3 linked regions of the Astyanax mexicanus genome follow. The protein of the gene in region 2 binds, or shares a complex with, the protein of the main gene of each other region. Links are inferred from orthologs where the notes say so. Each region holds a gene or a part of one and is shown on either strand. Other genes may lie near its edges.

What was found.
Region 1: plrg1 (region 2) and bcas2 share a complex: the UniProt entries of both Homo sapiens proteins name them as parts of the PRP19-CDC5L splicing complex. The link is inferred for Astyanax mexicanus from reciprocal best matches to the Homo sapiens genes PLRG1 and BCAS2.
Region 3: plrg1 (region 2) and cwc27 share a complex: the UniProt entries of both Homo sapiens proteins name them as parts of the minor spliceosome. The link is inferred for Astyanax mexicanus from reciprocal best matches to the Homo sapiens genes PLRG1 and CWC27.

The regions. Positions count from the first base shown.
Region 1 is NC_064419.1:2,129,607-2,136,554, forward strand, and holds the start of bcas2 (pre-mRNA-splicing factor SPF27), read left to right. Parts: upstream 1-3,918; 5' UTR 3,919-4,008; coding exon 4,009-4,101; intron 4,102-5,007; coding exon 5,008-5,100; intron 5,101-5,270; coding exon 5,271-5,341; intron 5,342-5,788; coding exon 5,789-5,950; intron 5,951-6,058; coding exon 6,059-6,109; intron 6,110-6,948. Other genes in the region: dennd2c (DENN domain-containing protein 2C), read left to right, coding at 421-666, 942-1,028, 1,114-1,145. UniProt on the Homo sapiens protein: Required for pre-mRNA splicing as component of the activated spliceosome. Component of the PRP19-CDC5L complex that forms an integral part of the spliceosome and is required for activating pre-mRNA splicing.
Region 2 is NC_064432.1:13,738,349-13,746,349, reverse strand, and holds the start of plrg1 (pleiotropic regulator 1), read left to right. Parts: upstream 1-4,932; 5' UTR 4,933-5,087; coding exon 5,088-5,096; intron 5,097-6,694; coding exon 6,695-6,801; intron 6,802-7,754; coding exon 7,755-7,888; intron 7,889-8,001. Other genes in the region: mnd1 (meiotic nuclear division protein 1 homolog), read right to left, coding at 2,030-2,087, 2,309-2,374, 3,956-3,958. UniProt on the Homo sapiens protein: Involved in pre-mRNA splicing as component of the spliceosome. Component of the PRP19-CDC5L complex that forms an integral part of the spliceosome and is required for activating pre-mRNA splicing.
Region 3 is NC_064427.1:22,654,013-22,661,439, forward strand, and holds the start of cwc27 (spliceosome-associated protein CWC27 homolog), read left to right. Parts: upstream 1-4,397; 5' UTR 4,398-4,407; coding exon of another isoform or gene 4,408-4,420; 5' UTR 4,421-4,525; exon of another isoform or gene 4,526-4,533; intron 4,534-5,824; exon of another isoform or gene 5,825-5,983; 5' UTR 5,984-6,019; coding exon 6,020-6,061; intron 6,062-6,988; coding exon 6,989-7,085; intron 7,086-7,412; coding exon 7,413-7,427. Other genes in the region: protein SREK1IP1, read right to left, coding at 1,052-1,250, 2,299-2,374, 2,542-2,694, 2,810-2,857, 4,408-4,420. UniProt on the Homo sapiens protein: As part of the spliceosome, plays a role in pre-mRNA splicing. Probable inactive PPIase with no peptidyl-prolyl cis-trans isomerase activity. As a component of the minor spliceosome, involved in the splicing of U12-type introns in pre-mRNAs.

The DNA of each region.
Region 1 (6,948 bases), on a different chromosome or scaffold from region 2:
AAGCTGTTTCTATTGTTTCTATTGTTTTTAGAGGTGGAGGACATGGCAGAAATATTCGTTGACTAATAATCATTAGCTTAGTTGACAAATAAAATGATCTGTAAAATGTATCTTTTGTTGTGGAGTCATTAAAAAAACGAACCAAGCTTTTCTATCCAAATTCACAGCATATATAGGACTTGTTGAAAATCACATATTTTGAGCCTCTTCTCTTCTGAAATAATAAATTGCCTCTTTCTCCCATTTATTTATTTATTTATTTTTATTTTATGTGTAGAATGAGATTTTTTCCATTATAAAACCCTTGAGGTCTTTAACATTTGTATAAATTTTGAATTTAAAAAGTTTAAATTGATTAAATTAGTTTTAAATTATTTTTTTTTGCCGTTTTTTCCTAAACCTGTTGTTCTCTCCCTGCAGTGGAGTGTGATCTGAGTGCTCTGGTGTCGGAGGCGTTTGTGCGTTTCTTCGTGGAGCTGGTGGGACATTATTCTCTGCACATTGGCGAGACGGGGACGAGCAGCGGCGTCCGCGAGCTGAACAGAGACACGTTCAGGAAGTCTCATCCGTCCCGCAGGGTCCGCCAGTTCCTCCAGCTCTTCATGGACACACAGATGTTCGCTGGCTTCATCCAGGACCGAGAACTCCGCAAAGGGGGCGTCAAGGGTGAGTGAGTGATCCAGGGTTTGGGGAAAAAAAGTTCTTGTGTGTGAAAACAAACCAGCAAGCAGCACAAACAAGCCAAGAATTGGTCCTGGGTGTGTTCTTAAGGTCTTAAGGAGCTAGTTTAGTTTTATCTTCATTACTAACCCAGCACATATATATATATATATATATGGTCATGGAGACGTCTGTGAGTCAGACGTCTCCATGAGTTCTTTTTTTTTTTTTTTTTTTAGTTGAATGTGTTTTAGTTTAATGTGTTTATGGGTTTCTAACAGGCCTGTTTGAGGTCAGAGCAGCAGAATACCTCGCCTCCTGCCCCGAACCCGAACCCAGCGGAGTCAACAAATTCCTGAAGGGACTCGGTAAGATAGCGTCTTCACCTCCACCAAAAAAGGAAGCATTATTTCCCCCTCTTTCCTCCCTGTGTGACAGTTTGCTGTGTTTTAGGGAACAAAATGAAGTTCTTGCAGAAGAAGTGAGGGATTGCCTAACGCAGAAGGAGGCCGGCGTCGAGCGCCGAGTGACGAAACCCGGCGCAGGAGGCTGTGATTCAGCGATCAGGCTGCGGCGATCCCGTTCCTCTGAGAAAAAGAAGCGATCAGAGGGGCGGAGAGACGAGAGAGACGAGAGGTCGAGCCCTGAAAACGCTCCTGCTGGGAGCGCCTGTGCAATTTCAATCGGTTGAAAAACTGGAAATGGACTTTTGTAAACAAGCAACAAAGAAGGACTGAATTAGAGCGGGAGGAAAGGGAGGAGGAGGAGGAGTGTGTGTCATGTTACTGTTGTGTAAAGCAGAAAGCTTTGGATTCGTGTCGTTTGTGCCGGATTGTGTCGATCTGTGAGCTAATGAAGTAGTTCTCTTCACACTAACCCTGATCTGATCTGATCTGATCTGATCTTTCTTCGTCTTTTCTGTGACTCTCAAAAAACAGGACATTTTTATTTTACATTTTTTCTATATTTTACTCCTCGTTCTTTACTCCCAACTGCTTTCCAAACTGGAAAGTATTATTTTTAGAGATAAATATAAATGATTGAGATGAGGAGGTGCTTCTCATCTCCTGCAGAAGTTGTGTATATTTATAATTCCTCTGAGGCACACTGATTATGCTTCTCGATAGATTTTTAAAAGTCTCTAATTATCCTTTTATCTTATTTTTCTTTTTAACAAACTAAAAGTTTGTGTTGTATAATGTCTGCGACGACATATTTCAAAATGCTTTTATATTTGACATTTTGTACAGTTTTATATGTGTGTTTTGTATAACCAAGGAGCTTTTTTTTTGTCTTTTGTGACTTTTTCAAATTAAATGCTTTCATATAAAACCTCCTGTAATCATTTAGTCATTTGGTGTGTGGGAGCTTTTTGCTGATGCAGAAGTTCCTGTAAATGCCTGATTTACGTGTGATAAAGGCTTTGGAAAAGCTGGCAAATCAAAACTGGCAAGTAAGGGCTTCAGGCATTGTAATTAACATTTCATATGCGCGAGCACTGGCTGTGTCTCAAATCAATTACTTGCTCCCTATGTAGTGAATAAACCTTTCCTAAACTCAGATTTTCAGGGAACACAAAAACATATTGCTGTTGTTATTGCTGTATAAAATTTAGCAATGGTTTAAGAGAATAGTTCTAATTTAACATTTAAAAAATATTGATTGAAAAGACAGAACGTTAGCATTTAACATTTTTAAAGCCACAAATTGTAGAATTTCCAGCTAGCTTTATGGACTTGGTAATTCTGCTGACTAAAAAAACTAAACAACTACGCAATATGTATAAGCAATTAATCCTTTAAAAAGAAGAAATAAACTATGGGTGATACATAATATGAAAGAAATAATATATTAAAGAATCCAGTACTGTTAATAATGCTTTAAAACAAACTATAATTGTGTATATATATGGTGCTTAATTATATGTAAACATTTATAAGTAAAATATTGTAAAATAACTGTAAAATGGTGAATATATTGATTATAAAAGGGCGGTGTTAGTTCAATATAGTGTTCCATCTCTTTTTTTAAAGTCAAAAAAATATATGTTTTTTTACCTGAAAATTTAAGTTTATTCATATAAAACCTGGTATAAAGTTTATGATAAGGGCAGGATCCTCATAAACCTGAGAGGCTGCCCACTCCCTGTCTGCACACCACTAGAGGGAGCCCGCGAGAGAGTCTCAAATATATGGGGGTGAATGGAGCTAAACGGCTAAAAACTCAAATTAGAAATAGTTACTAACCCCTTTTCCAGGATATTCCTTTATTTTAGGACAGTAGAAAAGTATTGTATTTAAAAAGCAAAGAGCATTACTGCTACTGTGAGCTGATTGGTTGGTGAGATGATGATGCTGGAAGTACAGTCAGCGCCCTCTGGTGGCAAAATTTATATATTTTGTTCTCTTTTTCCTGAACAAAATTAATCATAAATGAACTGTTATATAAAACAATTATTGAAAATAAACAGACAATATAAAACTGACAAAATAAGAGAGCACTTAAAAATGATACGTTTCTTTGATTTTACCAAATTGAAAACCTGCTTGAATTTCTGCACCAGGAGTAAAGCAGCATAAAGTTATCCAAAAGCAGTGTGTAAGACTGGTGGAGGAGGAGAACATGATGTCAAGATGCATGAAAAAAACTGTGATTAAAAACGAGGGTTATTCCACCAAATATTGATTTCTGAACTCTTAAAACTTTATAAATATGAACTTTCTTTGCATTATTTGAGGTCTGAAAGCTCTTAATCTTTTTTGGTATTTCAGCCATTTATCATTTTCTGCAAATAAATGCTCTAAATGACAATATTTTATATGGAATTTGGGATAAATGTTGTCTGTAGTTCACAGAATAAAGCATCAATGGGGGGTCTAAATATTATAAATATTATCAAAGCTTGGTGTATCTCTGGATTCTAATATCTACAAACTAGCTATGGATATTTTGAAGTAAAAAACGGGCTTCTGCTAAATACCCTGAATATAATGTAAATGAGTGGGGTAATTTTCTTTTAATTTAAAAAGTTTTTTTTTTTTTCGCATTTTCAGATTTCATTAATTGGGACTTGATATACAGTTGAATTTTATTCTAGTAGCATGTAAAAAAATATTTTTTTTTTTAGTAAATTTAGAAGTATGAATAAAAACTTGTCCAAAATAAAGAAAACATTTATATTAAGTGAAATTCTCTGTAAGAGATTCTGTGGTTCAGGTTGAAGGGTATATTCTGGCTGGGATGGGTGTTTTTCCTCCAGGCCTGCGGGCGGCGCTGGTTCCGCTGCGGGGTGAAGGGCTCAGGCGGGCGGCTGCGCGCTGCTGCTGCTGGAGCCGCTGCGGGAGAAACATGGCTGGAACCTCGTCGGTAGCCGGTGAGGTGTTCGTGGACGCGCTGCCGTATTTTGATCAGGGTTATGACGCTCCGGGAGTCCGGGAGGCGGTGAGTACCGGGCGGGGCGGTAACGGAGACCCGGGGCTGTTTAGTTTAGTTTAATTCAGGCTGCGGATCTGTGAGTTTAGAGGAGACGCAGCGTGTTCTCCCTCCTAAACAACAGCCCGGTGTTGCGTCCAGTTACGCTACTCGCCGATACCTGCTTTCCAAAGGCAGTGCGCATGCGCTGACCTAGAGTTATTATAAATTTTCCTGTTTTTTATTATAATAAATCTGTTTTTGTCGTGTCTTTTGTGTTTTAAACAACACGAACTGACTCATTTCATAAAAGTGTAAACGAAAATTAATAATAATAAATACAGTAGCCAGTTTATAATAACCTCCCATTGCCTTAACTTTATTATAATAAAGTGATTTATGCTATTCAAATATACTAAATCTACATCTACTGGAATTTCTACTGAAAACAAGCTCTAATACGGATTTTCTGTTAAATATACACTTGGGTAGCAGGATTTGATATGGTTGCACAATTCGACAGAACACCGGCCTGAGCTGCGCTTCCTAAAGCCGAGTTACAGCCTCTAAACCACCGGTTATATACTCTGTATATACGCTGTAGTGGTGGGCGGTATGATCATATATCATATATCACGGTATTTTTCAAGATTTAAATCATAGATTGAATATCAATGTATTTCTTTATTTTTCTATGTTGGATTTCCAGTGAGTGCATGCTGGGAATTGTAGTACCAAGTTTAACACAGCCAGATCAACGAGGCTGCATATTATTCCACAATAAATAACAGATTAAATGCTAGTTTTGCACCCCTATAAAGTAAAAACAAGTACTAATAAAACAGCAATTGTGATTAATTTACTAAAAATTATAACAGCCTGTACAGTCAATAACACTATATCCTTCTATAACTGATGAACATGTTCTGTTTCCAGGCTGCAGCCTTGGTGGAGGAGGAGACCCGGCGATACCGGCCTACAAAGAATTACCTGAGTTACCTGCCAACACCTGATTTCTCTGCGTTTGAGGTAAATAGATCCTGATCCTGTTTCTATTCACAGATTCTAGTTTGGCTGTGACTCACCTGGTTGTGTGTTCAGTAATATTATCCATAATTGATTGATCGATCGATTGATTGATATAAGATGTTCAGTAGTGTTATTATTTTTATTTATTTTTTTTTTTCCTGCACCCAAAGACTGAGATAATGAGGAACGAGTTTGAGAGGCTTGGTGCTCGCCAACCTATGGAGCTGCTCAGCATGAAGAGGTAGGAGATCCTGAATAACAGATACAAAGACCAGTGGGTTTAGTATATTGTGTGAAATATATTGGTATTTTTGAAATAGGGCTGGATAATGTGCCAAAGATTTATTATAAAATAATTCTTAACTTCAGTTGATACAAAAAACAGCTGAAAAAAGTACTTTCTCTTATCTTTATTGAGAAAAACTATTCACTAATACTTATTTGTAAGTGGTAAAAGTATGTGAACTTTTGCTTCTCAAATTTAATAAAAAGGCTTTTTAAAAAAAGGGAGGAGTAGTTTGCGAAAGAGGGACTGGGTGATGTATGGGTTTAGGGGTGTGGGGCAGGAGGAATTCTCGCCTGTAGCACAGTTGAACCTGAGGGGGCGCTGCAAAGGCAGAAATGAAAACAGAAACACAGCTATTATTGAGTTTTGTGGCTCACTGCCTCCTAATGTACGTAACTTCAGATACGAGCTTCCAGCCCCCTCATCCGGACAGAAGAATGACATCACAGCGTGGCAGGATTGTGTGAATAACTCGATGGCCCAGCTGGAGCATCAGGCCGTGCGAATAGAAAACCTTGATCTGATGGCCGAGTACGGAACCAACGCCTGGAAGTTTTCTAATGAGTACGTATTAAACTGTAGTAGCTTTTGACTTTTAGTTTTAATTATTGTGTTTTTTTTTTATAAAGTAAAACTGTATGTTTATTTGCATCTCTTATTTCTGTTTAACAGTAATTTGGCTTTCATGATTGAAAATGCACAAAAGGAACTGCAGAAGGTTCGGTAAGTAACTGTTGGTGTGTGTGAACAAATGATCTTTAATAGAAAAGTCTGTTTAACTTGGTGGCCATCTTCTTTAAAATGGTACTGGATCTGGATAAGTGGGGAGAGACTAAAATACTCAACTTAATGGTAAAAATAAATATATATTAAAAATTGCATTAGAGAAATCTCATTAATAGTTTCTAGCGTTTGGTATAATAATGCACAAAAAAATGTTTTATAGCTTTTTTTTTTTTTTTTTTTTATGTTTGGTAGCTTTTTCACCAACCAGTAAAATGATGGGCGGGACTTTATCTGTAAACAGATGCCATATTGGTAGTTGCATGAACTCTTTTTTTTTTTATTTTATCCAGTTTCTGATCTTCTAATTTATACCATCTCTGTTCTGTATTTTTATTTAAATATTTTATTTTTATTTCAAATGTAGCAGATATTTCTAATTCTAAATAAAATTTCAAGCAAATTTAATGAGGAATCTGGCATGAAATAGGTTTCCTCCAATCATCCCCAGCATTGAGAAATAAAGCACTTTTTGCAGATGCTCCCACCAGGGTCACAATGCTAGGAATAGGGGCATAGCATCTGCCTGTGCAAAAAAAAAAAATCACTATTTACAACCTTAACCAAGATCAAAGTAGCTCCACACTTCACTGATAGAATTCTGAGGGCTCTACATTTAAAATGAGGCAATGAGAGCTTTAAAAGTGCACATATATGTTTATTAAAACACTGTTTGTTTATATAGTGTTTAATAAACTGTAAACTATAATTAATACACAGTGTTGTGCTGCAGTGCTTTTCTCTGGGGATTATATGGGCTGTGTTTGTGCACCAATTAG
Region 2 (8,001 bases):
CAAACGAGTGCTGGATATTAATCTACACAGATTCCTCTCCTGAAAACTGTTTATTTGGGTGAGTAACGTGCTTCAGTTTATTTACAGTAAGCTTAGATTTCCAGATGTCCACTAAGGCTTGCTGCACCAGTGTTAGCATAGCTATCCGCTAGCACGCTAGCTAGTCACCTAAACTAGTAAAGTTAACCCAAACTTAAACGACAGCGTTACACTGAGTAATCCTGCGTGTTCTGGTAAGACAGTGAGATATTAGCTAGCGATTCGTCCCCCGTAGCTTGTTTTAACACGGTAAACAAGCAGATTACAGGCTGATAAAACTCACCTCTGAGAGAGTTAGCGCTTAGCATCTAGCTAATGCTAGCCAGGCAAAGCAGCACAGACTTACAGGCCGATAACTCACCTTTGAACGGTGAACGCTTAGCGATTAGCATCTAACTCTAATAATACTGCTCCAGCAGTATTAAAAGTGCTAAATTTAGAAAATACTGATCTCTGAACAGTGAAAAAGCTAGCTAGCTAAGCGGTTAGCATCTAGCTAATGCTATTGCTGCTCCGGCCTCAGAGCGGCACGGCTCTGCACGGAGTGTGTGTTTACTGCTCCTTACACCTGACGGGTAAAATTTAGATAATACTGATCTCTGAACAGTGAATAAGCTAGCTAATGCTATTTGCTGCTCCAGCCTCGGAGCTGCACGGCTCTGGACTCTGTATAGCACTGAAACTCTGTATAACGCTGCACGGAGTGTGTGTTTACTGCTCCTTACAACCTGACGAGTAAAATTTAGATAATACTGATCTCAGTGAATAAGCTAGCTAGCTTAGCGGTTAGCATCTAGCTAATGCTATTGCTGCTCAGCCTCGGAGCTGCACGGCTCTGGACTCTGTATAGCACTGAAACTCTCTATAATGCTGCACGGAGTGTGTGTTTACTGCTCCTTACAACCTGACGAGTAAAATCCATACAAAAGGCGCACCGTATTATAAGACGCACTGTCAATTTTTGTGAAAATTAAAAGTTTTTAAGTGCGCCTTATAGTCCGAAAAATACGGTAATCAGACTACGAAGGAACACATAAGGAATCATGTAGTAACTTAAAAATAAAGTTAAATAAACCAAAATGTGAAGTATTTAGATGCTCTTATCTGGGGAGCTGTTTGTTAACTTGTGGTTTATGATGCTGGTAACTCTGATTAATTTATCCTCTATAACAGAGGAAACTCCTGATGAGTGCCAGTTTCATCAGTATAATGTTTTTGATGGTTTTTGTGGCGACTGCGCCTGAGTATACTTTCAAAGTTAATAAAATTCTTCTTTTCGGATTGACTGACCTTCATTTTTTCTTAAAGTATCTTTTTCTTTATTTAGTTGAGTAGTTGTTGCTTCTCATAATATGTATTAGAGTACTACCTCATAAAACTGACTGAGAAAATGCAGCAGAGTGCAAAACTGGTAATCTAAACAACAGGAGGAGCTACTTTAAAAATAAATACTAAATAATTCCATATGTTTTTTTATAGTTTGGATGAGTTTAGTATTAAAGCAGCACTAAGTAGGATTTTCTTGATTTTTTATCTTTTTAAAGAAGTAAAATTACAGTGTGAAACTCACTGCAGCGCTGCATTGAGGTGTAATAGGAGGAATAACGGTGCTCTCGTGTCTGTGCCGAAGCGCCTCTGAGCTCAAACCAGACTGTAAATTTTCTGAGGCGACCGCGAACAACGCTCGCAAGAACTGCGACCTGCTTTCCGACCTTTAGTTCTAACAGTTCTACAAGGACTACTGGTTCATTCTTTACAAACTAACATACAGACACTCTGGCAGAAGCTGGAAAGAGACCCAATATGTCTGTAAAAGCCAGAAAACAAGAAAGAGAAACTAATCCGCCTGAAACATTTATTACACTCTGCAACTGTAGGGGGAGCCCACGATCACAAAATCTCAATCCTACCTAGTGGAGCTTTAATCTACAATGCAGAACATTTTAAATAATGTAAAAAACATTTAATTATCATAAATGACACTACTTACTGATTCCTTTGGATTTGGGAGCAATTTTTTCAATGTCCTTCAGTTGAAAAACATCCTTCTGAAAAAATAATAATACAGTTTTAATCAGACAGTCACTGCAGTGGAAACCAGTTGGGGGCTTCTGTCTGCCTCCCAGAGCTGTAGAATTACAGTATGAGTCCTAACTAAAGCTGGAATTAAAAATCTCCAATAATTTAGTTATTTTTTAAAGAGAATACATCAGAAACACTGTAAATTTAACTGACAGTTTACTTAAAAAAACTAAATTAATTTACTTACTGTTTCAAAAAATATCTCCATCATACGAGACCTCTTCTCTTCCAAACTGAGTCCTTTCTTCTTCGACTGTTTCAGAGAGTAAAATTTTAGTAAAAACTGACATTATTAGGCAGATGACAACGCAATCTTAAAATCAACAAACACTAATAATTTTTATTATTTACATTGTGGCCAAAATAAAATTTCAAAAAGACTTAAAAATAAAAATCACCCAGAAGCTTCAGCCAGTATTTTCTTCCAGTAATGATTTCTTTTATGATATATTGTTTTAGGCTTTTATATGGTTTTAGGCAATTACGTGAATATTTTCTCCTTATTGATGTGTAAACTGCTCTTTTATTATTTTAAGATACTAAGTTATTACTTTGAGATACTATCTCACTATTTTGAGATGCTTCCCATTTTTAAGGGACTAATAATAATGAAATTTATAACGAAATAGCCTTTCAAAATAATGACTTTGTATGTCAAAAAAACAACTTACTTATTTCAAGATACTGTGTAATTTTGACATGCTATCTTGATATTTTGAGATACTAAGTCTTTATTTTGAGATATTAAATCTTTATTTTAAGATAGTAAATCTTTATTTTAAGATAGTAAATCTTTATTTTGAGATACTAAGTAATTATTCAGCGATACTAAATCTTTATTTTGAGATACTAAGTCTTTATTTTGAGATACTAAGTCTTTATTTTGAGATACTAAGTCTTTATTTTGAGGTACAAATTCTTTATTTTGAGGTACCAAGTCTTTATTTTGAGATACTAAGTCTTTATTTTGAGATACCAAGTCTTTATTTTCAGATACTAAGTCTTTATTTTGAGATACCAAGTCTTTATTTTGAGATACTAAGTCTTTATTTTGAGATACCAAGTCTTTATTTTGAGGTACCAAGTCTTTATTTTGAGGTACAAATTCTTTATTTTGAGATACTAAGCCTTTATTTTGAAATAAAGAAAGAAATAAAAACAGTATTATTGTGATTATTGTTTTACTGTTTGCTGTACTCTACTATCTCTGATATAAAATGATTAAGTTATTTAATTAATTTTAATGAAAAATGAAGACCGTGTTCCCGCCCGGTTTCGAACCGAGGACCTTTCGCGTGTTAGGCGAACGTGATAACCACTACACTACGGGAACTGATTACCACGTACAGACACTCCAGCCTTTAAACCGGTGGAGTAAAATAACATTTTATACGATTTATATATTTTAAATCACGTTATAAACACAGTAAAACACATAAAAACAAACTCACCTTTCACTGATTTTATCTGTTTAAACTAAAAGACTAAGACAAAACACCACAACCTGCAGTAACTAATAAACTAACGTTACACCAACAGCGGCTGTATTTAAGAGAACTCTGACTACAAATCCAGCAGATTAATAAAGTTTTTAAACTTTAATATAGATCGTTATTTATACTAAAGCGATGTGAGGCCTATGGTTTTCTCTTAGACTGTTAATTAACGCTGTTGATTTAGCTAAAGCTAAAAACAAACCCAAACAAACCACGCACCTAAAACTACCTAAAACTGTGTTTAATATCACACAATCCGCTCATTTTCACCTCCAGTAAAATGTTTTATTACTGTAAATCTATTAAAGTAGATATTAAACACAGTATTAAAGTCCTACCATTTTTAAATCACTCCTCTGACTGAAGCTCCTCTGATTCAGTTCTCAACCTGCTCCACATTTCCCGCCAACTGCCTTCATTCCTATACCGGAATCGGTTCTTTTCTTAGAATCATTCGAACCGAATCAGGTTCACAGGACACCATAGACTGTATATGCAGGACACAAACATTTCAGCCGGATTTTTGAATCGGTTCTTTTCAAAGAATCATTCGAACCAATTCAGTTTCACTTATGAACCTGAATTTATTATCTGCATGTACATGACACAAAAAAAATCTTCTGGATTTTTGAGTCAGGTTCAGGATTGAACCAGGGTGTATTATATACATATACAGGACACAAAAGATTGAACAGAATTGGTTATTTTTAAGTTTTATTATATACAGCTCTGGGAAAAATGAAGACACCACTTTAGTTTATGAATCAGTTTCTCTAAGTTAGCTATTTATAGGTTTATGTTTGAGTAAAATGAACATTGTTGTTTTATTCTATAAACTACGGACAACACGTCTCCCAAATTCCAAATAAAAATATTGTAATTTAGAGCATTTATTTGCAGAAAATGAGAAATGCCTGAAATAACAAAAAAGATGCGGAGCTTCAAATAATTTTAAATAATGCAAAGAAAACAAGTTCGTATTCATACATTTTAAGAATGCAGAAATCAATATTTGGTAGAATAACCCTGTTTTTAATCACAGTTTTCATGCATCTTGGCATCATGTTCTCTTCCACCAGTCTTACACACTGCTTTTGGATAACTTTGTCATCTTGTTGCACAATCCAACCAGTTCAGCTTGGTTTAATGGCTTGTGATCATCCATCTTCCTCTTGATTATTTTCCACAGGTTTTCAATTTGGTAAAATAAAAAAAATAATAATTTTTGAGTGGTCTCTTATTTTTATACAGAGCTGGAGGTTACAGTAGGGGGCAGCACTGAGTTTATACCGCCTCTCTCTCCGCGCTGCAGGCCGGAGTTTCCGCCGCCGTGTTTCCGGTGTGTGTGTGAGAGTGTGTGTGAGTGTTTAGCGCGGTGTGTTTAGTTTTATACAGGGAGTTTAAATCGAATTCTGATCCGGATTCAGCTTTAATTCAGAACTACTGACCCAGAGCAGCAAAAGCAGCAGCATGGCGGAGGTAAGGCGGTATTATTATTATTCACGGGACAGACCATAATACTCTCCTCTCTATTCACTACACCCAGTTCTACTCTCACCTCTTTAATAAAACACTTATTATTATATATAATTATTATAATACAGACCACAATACTCTCCTCTCTATTCACTACACCCTGCTTTACTCTCACCTCTTTAATAAAACACTGATTATTATACCGGTTATACAGTAATCTGTTACATAATCACACTTAAATAACCAACAGATCCCGTTATTAGTGTATTAATATTCACATTAATAACTCAACTAACTAACGTTCCTGTTTTTTAAGCTTAACACCAGCATTACATTCGCTTTATAACTAGAGAACACTAACTTACTCTAATTACCTTTATTCTCTGTTCACTGAGATATGTGTCTGATGTTGGCCCTTTAAACAGGTTCAGTATAGTTTTGTTCATTTTCTGAGGAGATCTATCTATTTAAAAAGAGACACAGCCACTGGGGGTTAATGTAGAGTAAATAAAGGATTAATCTGGTGTGAAATGGACTTGGGTTGTAGTGAAACATGATAATGATTATAAACTTTTGTAGAATACCCCACCTCTGTTCTTCCTTAGCATTCCCAAATACAGCACTTGCTGATGCTCCCAACAGGCTTACAAAATGCTAGAGATTAGGGCTGCAACTACTGACTACTTTAGTAGTCGAGTAATCTGCTGATTATTTGTTTGATTAGTTGATTAGTCACGATTATTTCTTGTCCTGCCCTCCATCTGTACTTCCTTCTAGTGAGAACAGCTAAACATTTAGTCCCCAAGACCAGCTTTGTCACTTATGTATTTTTTTTATTATTATTATTTTTTTTTTACTATTTTTCAAAGATATACCTCCCCAAAAAGATTTTGTCTCAGAAAATAAAGGTTTCTTTTTTATTAAAGTCTGTAGTTACTCTAATATATGACTTAATTTTAATGTAGTGTACAGAGGACATTATCTGTCTCTAACACTTATCCATGTTAATGAAGGAGTGAATCCTGTTTAAACTCTCCTCAGCAGTTCTCTGCAGTAATTTAACATTAACCACGGGTAATATAAAGCTCAGTGTTTAAACTGTACACAACCAGTAAAGACAGACTGTAGAGTTTTTTGTGGAGTTAAATGTGTTTAATGTTGTGTTTAATGGAGACAGAGCTGCTATTACACTGTATACTTGTCTCTCTCCTGCTCTCTCTCATGCTTTGCAAGTCCCACCCATACTGAAACCGCATTGGATAAATAAGCATGAGGAGAGGCCAATCAGAATACTCAGGATTTGTCACTCTTACTCAACAATGAGACTCTGCAACAACTACATTCTAGATAAATATGTTAAAGGGTTTAAAATGGCTCTCATTCTACTTTATTACAAGTAACTTAATTTATGGACTTATCTGATTGGATATTTTTGTATGTGTGGATTACTTGGATTGTTTCCAAAATCTGCTTGAAATTTCATGTCAGTCGCCCATCATCAAAACATTGATTCATTCAGTATTTTTTCTTGAGTTATATACTCTGCCTGTTATATAGCATCTGCCTTATTTGAATCAGTTTTGTGTCTGTTGTGTCTGCAGGAGGTGCAGAAGCACTCGGTCCACACTCTGCTCTTTAGATCTCTGAAGAGAACCCATGACATGTTCGTGTCTGATCACGCTAAACCAGTGTCCCTGGACGAGGAGAGGTGAGTCTCTGGCTTTAAAAACCTGAAAGATGAGCGTGGTCATTGGATCTATGGAATAAGGTCATGTGAAGGTCTGATGAGTCCAGATTTGCACTGTTCTGGAGTGATGGAGCATCAGGGTTAGAAGAACTAGAAGAAATCCAGAGTCTGATATTTACTCTCTCTAGCAAACTGAAGCATTTTTAGATGAAAAATGATTTTTTTTTTTTTATGGCTGTGTGAACGTGCCAAATCAGCCTTTTTTTAAATTAGATTTGAGTCACTTTCATAACGGTCAAATCTGAATTTATGCGTCTTTTTGCTTTTACGCATTAGTATTAGCATTAGCCCTACATGCTTCTCTCTCGTACCCACACTGCATCTCTTGGTGCAGCTGTGCAGCTATAGCTGCAAAATCAGCAAAAGCAAACCTCCTGGCCTTTTTTCTCCTCCTGGACCTGAGCATGAACTTCAGACCAGCTGTTTCTCTCCACTCTCCAGTTAAAGATGCTCCACATATGATCTGCTAACTCATCCATTTCCCTTTATAAAGCTACTAGTTTCTTGTCTCTCTAATATGAGGGTTTTTTTGTTGTTGGTGAAGAAGGAGGCATTTATACAGGTATCAGTGTGCAGCATGTGAGGCGTTTCTGGTACAGATTTGTTCACATTACACACAGATACAGATCACTTACATTTACAGTGAATGTGAACCATCAGGATAAACAAATCTGATCTGAGCAAAAAAAAATCTGATTTAAGCAACATGGCTTATAATGTGAACGTAGCCTAGGATGTTTTCCCTGCTTGATGCACGCCAATAATTTGACACGATCGCGGTCTATGTCTTTCCAAGTATATGTCTTTTAGAATAGCTGTATTTGCACATTAATGAGTTTACAAATGTTTATATAGAATTTTTTTCAGTGTATTTTCAATGTATTAATTATGGACCTGTGAACTTGTTTCCTCAGTCACAAGATAAAGATGGCTGCTAAGCTAAGAGCTGAGTATGGACCAGTGTTACACATGCCCGTGCTGAAAGAAGTCCGGGGAAAACCTCTTAACTCCTCTGATCCATTGGACAACCTGGGATACCCAGCAATCGGTGAGTGAGTTTTTTTTAGAGACACAGGAATGCACAAACATAAGATGAAAATTAAGTGTGCAACAGATCACAGTTTGCAAGATTGGGCGTTTTCATGACAAAACGATCCAGTT
Region 3 (7,427 bases), on a different chromosome or scaffold from region 2:
GCTCTCACAAATGAGTGATGCGAGTAGTCTGCACTCAAAATACTTTAACATGCTGAAGTCTTCAGATTACTTGCACTTAATAAAATTGCATTGACTTCCATTGAATGGTAAGGGTTTTTTTTTTGGTAAATTTACCATTTTGACTGAGGATTTGTGGGTTTTGGTGAATTTACTTGTTCATATTCTTATTTCTCTTAAAAAGTAAGTTGTTAATTTAAATAAAGGTAGGCATTAATGCTTAGCCAATTATAAATAACCTAGAAGGCAGTAAAAAATATCTGAGGTAATGATTGTGTTTTCCACAAAAAAATAGAAGAGGCAAACTGGAAATTGCAGACTTAAACTCTTAATAAACTCTTAAAAGACTTAATAAACTCTTGATTAGGTAACATAGCTTTTATTCTGTGTCTGTAAGCTTTTAGAGAACATGTAAAAAAAACGATAAAATTAAAGCACAGTACAGATAAAAGCCTCCATCTGTATTTATGCTCATTTTCGCTCAATGTTAAATGTGGATGTGGATATGGATGGAGCCTATTGTCCATATATTGCATTAATTTAATCTGTATTTGTGCACATTATATAAAAGTTTACGGATACAGTCTGAATGTAGCACTTCCAATGGAAACAGTGGAGACAGTGTAACCAATAATTTATATAAAAATAGACCACTGCCAAATGAGCACTTATAAATATGATTCTACACTTATAAGAATAAACAAACATAAGTTCACATTATAGAAAAGTAACAGCCACATGTTTTTATTTACTTTCTGTACAAAATCATAATTGCATCAAAAATACACTAAGAAAGGTTACCTTTCCACCAGCACAATAAACCTCCATAAGAGAACATAGCTACCAATGTCAGGAGAAAGATTCACTGCTTAAACAGTAACATATCTATACACGGCTCTGAAACTCCCCTAGTCTTTGGGTATTTCAGATCATAATTATTTTAATTAAAATCTGCCGCAAATGTCTGAGCCTTTACGTTCATAAGAAATGCTGGTCCTGGTGAGCCGACATCAAAAATAACAACATTAACATCTCAGTCTGTGTCTGAAGATCCGCTGGAGCTGCTGGATGAGGAGGTCTGTTTAAGTTTCTTCTTGCTCTTTTTCATACGTCTTTTCTCTTTCTCTTTTTTTTCCTTTTTGCCTTTCTTCTTATGGCTCTTGTGCTTTTTCTTTTTTTTGCTCTCCTCTTCCTCCTCCTCCTCATCATCATCATCACTAGATGAATAAGACCTGAATCAAAGTAATAAGAAATTAATAAAACATAAATGACAAAAAAACTTTCTATTGTTATTTTTTATTTAAGGCAAAATATATTATTAAAAATGTTCTTTTTATATATTTTTAAACATTTTTATAATTTCAGATAAACGATTCTTGTGCGACAGGGTCATGTCAGCAAATTACTTATAAAAATGTATAATTTTACTTGTAATAATAGAAATATATATATTTACTGATTTTAAGAATGTTAAGAATATGTTATGGTAGTTTACATACTGCTCTCTCATTTTTTTTGGCACAACAGTGTAAATATTTTGCAGTGAATTTTACTTATTAGAGTATGTACAGCTAAAATATCTTCCACAATTCACAATTAAAGCCCCTATTGACACTGAGAATGTATACCTAATGTGAATTGTATATTATAATTATATAGTTATATACACATTGCTTTTATTAAATGAAGTAAAAATTTAATGAGATCAAATCAAATCCCACAAATTTCAAAACTAGTCCTAAAATAATTTCTTTAAAAACATCTCAGCAACTCAAGGTCAGCTTCAGAGATGCACCCTAACTGACCACTTAAGGTAAATGGTTATCCATTAACTGTCCATTAACCTCTGAGAGGATAAAAAAAAAAAGAAAAATATGTGGCATCCAGTCCAGTTATTTTTTTTTCCACATTTAAAATGGTACCACTTTATATTTTTGCTTTACTTTATTTGCACTTTAAAATAAATGTTTATTGATATAAAAACACAATCTATGATATTTTCATATTTCCTATTGTTACTATTATAAATACAAATTACAGTTTCAGCTTTGCTTACAACACATTGAATTTAACCTTCTATAAATGTATTTTACAGCAACAATATGCAACATTTTTCTGTTAACATCAGTATGTTATTATCAGTAATATAATAATATCAGTCAACACTTTATGCTGTATACAATACTGTAACAGCTGTATCAGTAATATAAAATGGCATACTTCTCCAGATATGCATTTAAATAATAAAAAATGTGTGTTTGGAAGTTTTGCAGATTGTACCTCTTTTTTGCTTTACGGTGGGATCTTTCTTTACTTTTCTTTTTGTGCTTTTCCTTTTTTGAGTCCTCCTGAGAACCTGCAGAGGAAGCAAATATCAAACTCTGATTATCAGCATTCCTGTCATTTTCTACACTTTCCATTTTAGAGTCCAGAAATAATTAACACTATAGCCATCAGTGATTGCAAATCTAGAAAAAAGTTATAGTTAAGCAGATCAAACTAATTATCAAATAATGCCCAAACCTTTAGAATTGCTCCCAAAGATCTTCTCCTTGCTGACAGCCGCCTGCTCTTCTTCCTCGCTCTCTTCAGTGCTTGTGCTGCTAACGTCCAAAACGATGTCCTTCCTGGGGTCCACTCGCACAAAGTTACGACACTCGAACGTCAGGTGACCCGCTGGCAAAGTAAGGAAATCATTTGTTTTGCAACAATAAAGAATTACAGTAATAATGCTAATTAAAAGCTGAATACAAAGTAAATATGATCCAAACGGATCATTCTCAATACTTACGATAGCCACATCTTTTACATCCAGCTCGAATATTATCCTTATTAACACCTGTTTAAAAAACAATTATAAACCCATTAGTAAAGATATGCAGTACTAGTCAAAAGTTTTAATACACCACAATTGTTTAATTGTCCAGAATATCTTTGGACTTTATAACTTGTTTGACAGTAGACCAACACCAGCAGATGACATGCCTCTCCAAACCATTACTGATTGTGGAAATGTCACAGTAGATCTCAAGACTGTGTGTCTCTTCACTCTTCCTCCAGACTCTGGTCCCTTGTTTTCCAAAATGAAATGCAAAATTTACTGATGATCAGTGATGGTTTGGAGAGTCATGTCATCTGCTGGTGTTGGTCCACTGTGTTTTATTATCCAAGTCCAAAGTCAGTGCAGTGTTTTCCCAGAAAATCTTACAGCACTTCATGCTTCCCTCTGCTCATAACTTTTATGGAGATGCAGATTTCATTATCCAGCAGGACTTGGCACACTGCCCACATTGCCAAAAGTACCAATTGGTCTTTTATAATATTTTAATTTTCTAAGATATTGACTGTTGGGGTTTTCATTGGATGCAAGCCATAATCATCAATACATCTATATTATATATGAGCTTTAAATTTTGAACTAAATTACAGAAATATAGTAACTTTTCATTGAAATTTTTATTTTGATGCACTAGTATATGTACAGCTCTGGAGAAAGACCACTTAAAAATGATGAGTTTCTTTAATTTTACCAAATTGAAAACGCAAGATGGATGATCGCAAGCCATCAAACCAAGCGAAACTGATCCAACCCCAACTGCGAAACTGCTTGACTTTTTTGCAGCAGGAGTGGCATTAAGTTAAACAAAAGCAGTGTGTAAGACTGTGCATGAAAAATGTGATTAAAAACCAGTGTTATTCCACCAAATATTGATTTCTGAACTCTTAAAACTTTATGAATATAAACTTGTTTTCTTTGCATTATTTAATAATTTCTTTGCATTTTATTTGGAAGCAATGTTGTCTGTAGTTTATAGAATAATTTTGCTCAAACATATACCTATAAATAGCAAAATCAGAGAAACTGATTCAGAAACGGAAGTGGTCTCTCCAGAGCTGTATATACGCACTAGCGATGAAATAGTGAACGTTTATTTAACGTTTTTTTTGCTGAATATGGTAACGTTAACTAACTAGTGAGCTGGCTAGTTATCTAGCTAACCTAGCTTTACATAGTTGCTGTGAGAACAAAAGCTATTTAAGATAACCTAGCTATTTAACTAAAAGGGATTTTTTAACAAGGCAACGTTTAAATGACACCGTGCAACATTCATATATGTATTTAATAAATATGATCAAAACTAGTGCGCTAACTAGCATCAGTAGTTAGGTTAACTAGCTTAGCTCAGCTAGTTAGTTAGTTAATAGTTATCTTAGCTACATATAGTTTTGTATAGGAGCTGCTACTGTAAGCCTAGCTAAGCTAAGCTAAGCTAAGCTAACCTAGTACTGTTCCAGAATGTTCCGGGCGCGCGCTTCCCGCCAAAACAGGAACAAACGGGGTAAACCAGCTAATCTAAGCTAGTCAGATCTGTAGCTAGTTTTACATACCTGGAACAGCCATTTCAGCTGAGTATAGAGATTTTAATGTGAAAAAAATGCAGCTCGTCCTCAAAACACAACAACACACACCAGGCTCTTCTCCTTCTTCTTCCTCTAGTAGCTTACGGTGAGCATTACCGCCACCCGCTGAAAGCCGGGGAACTTACACACAGGCGTTTATTCAATATTCCCTTTGGCTCTGATACTGACATTAGGCTGTTATCTATGTTATCAATTTACCTGATAATGTCATACATTTTACTTGTATTAGTCTGTTATCAGTGCATTAGGTTCAGTTAGCACTGCAATAGGCAATAATAATGCCTGATATATGTATAATAATGCACGTATAGTACAGATTGCCTTTAGTCAGCAACTATATTTAAACTATTATTAACATGTTAGATTAAGTATTCTAACTCTGTGCTCCAGGCATTTGAGCTTATTATATAAGAGAAAGTGGAAGATGTGCATCCTAATAGGAGGCGAATATTATGGTAAAAAGCCTGACCCAGCATTATACTCATTATATTTTTCTCCCTATAATGACCCACATGTAAGGTTTGTATGGTTGTTAGCGTTTTGTAGTTTGCCACCAGAGGTCTAAACAAGCACATACACACTTTTGTTTATTCAGATATGCACCACATTAGTGTACTCTCAGTTTAAGTGAATCCCTAATACATAAGTGAGGAGTTGAAGACAGGCACACAAAAACACTAACTGTGTCAGTCCCTCAAGGTCAGGCTCTTTTAAAAACACAGTAGTGTTTCAATTAGCTTTTAAGTAGCATTTAAAGTAGTCTTAATCAGTTAACGTAAATCAGGTTATAAATGAACCCTTATTTTTAAACTTCTCAATGTCACTGCTGGACTGAAATAAGTCTACCAGTTGTTGTGTCCCGTGGGTAATGTATGTAGAAACAAGGAGGTGGTTATGATGGTATTCTTGACCAGTCTTTGATGTGTAATGATAACAATGGTTTTAAAATGTGATATTTTGTTCGTTTTTAATATTAAAAGATTTGTTGGAGAGCCTACCCACTTCCTATAATTTCTATCAGAAAATGACTGTGAATCGCTAGAGGGCACCCGCGAGTGAGATCAAAATAAATGGGGGTGAATGGAGCTAAACCGCTACAACTCAAAATAAAAATAGTAAGGTAATTTTATATATATATATATATATATATATATATATATATATATATATATATATATATATATATACATCTCCGGTACATTCCTTTAATTTTGGAAGTCGGAATAGTGTATTTTGCTAATAAAATATATAGAACTCACCTGTATATTTTATATTTTCTACAGTAAACTCACTTGGGTGCGCCCTCTGGTGGTTAAACAAACCTTTCTATTATAGAGATTCTCTGGCATAACTATCTTGGGCCTCTGAACTGTAGGTTGGTTCGCTAGCTTTAGGTGGCAGCAGTGCGGTTAGCAGTGTTTTTCCCCCAGTCAGGATGTTAAAGAAGGAGAAGTCTAAGCTGGCGGCGGTGTACAGGATTTATTAGAGTGATATTTTATGTTTATGCGAGTTTTTTGCCGTTTATTATCGTTTTTTTTTTCAGTACGGTAGCTGGCGTCCTACTAATACTGCTTCAAACATGAGCAACATATACATCCAGGAGCCTCCGACTAGTGGCAAGGTGCGTAGCCAGGGAGCTAACTAACCTAACCTAGCCTTAGTTCACTGAGTTTTGTTTCTTTAAATATAAAAAATAAATAATATGACGAACAAACAAGGTTATTTCCCAAACACCGCCCTTTAGTGTGTGTTTCTGACTCACTGACTGTCTCAAAAAACTGCACTGTACTGTAACTCTAGTTAGTTACTGGGTTAAGTTAGCTAGCAAAACATAAATATTCAGCATTAAGGCTTGGCGATATGGCCCTAAAATAATATCACGATAGGGTGCTCAGGGTGTTTTTGCTATATTTTTTGACGATATTACAAAACATTATTTAAAAAAACCCCAACATAATTTCAACTATGAATGTCCTAATCACATCACAGGCCATTTAAACTGACATAATGATAATAGAATAGCATAACAAAGCGTTTCCATATTTTTAAAGACAAAATTTGTAATTAATCATAGTTCAGGATGTATAGCTATACTTTGTTTTTACCTAAGTTACTGCAGTCAACAATGTTTGTACTGTGTGGAGTCTCAATTTTTAAAACATTGGTCATTTAGCATGACTAGGTAAAATACTGTTCACTGTTAAGTTATGTAATATATGTGAACACATATTCACATAATAGAACACAATAGATTTTACAACAATTAAATATTATTGAGGTAATGTCCATTTAGTTTATGATAATCACAAGTTTTGTCATTAATTACTTAAATCAATTTGTGTTGCCAGTTTAAACTTATCCAGCTCCAGGCTTTGAGACCTGTTCAACAATGCTAGAAATCTGATCCTGATACCTTAAGAGCCTCCTATCGCTCAGCCATTTTATGCAACCAAAAAAAAGTAACGTTTCTTCAATGTTCTTTGCTATCAGGGGAGATTAGCAATCTGAGACAATTTTTAAAACTGTCTCCATTTTATTTTTCTTAAAGGTTTTAATTAAGACCTCTGCAGGTGATATTGATGTGGAGCTGTGGTCAAAAGAAGCTCCCAAAGCCTGCAGAAACTTCACTCAGCTGTGCATGGAAGGTAAGTCTAGCATATTTAGTCTTTTTACCTCTTTGACATTCCTTTATGTTTAAATGTGTCTGTAGTAGTACACTTCATTCTCAATTTAAAAAATAGCTTCCCCAATTTAATAAATGCAAGGTTTGGTTGTTAAACGTCAATCCAACTTTCACTGGCTCTGCAGACTAAGATGCTCAAGTCACAGATAATGCTGCTTTGTGATCAACAGCCGGAGTCTAAATGTCCTGGAGGACTTTCTTGCACTCTAGCCAGTGCCTGTGGGACAGTGGGCAGTGAAACAAATACTATGTTAGTAATGTACATGTTATAAATTTTCTTCTTTGTCAGGTTACTACAATGGGA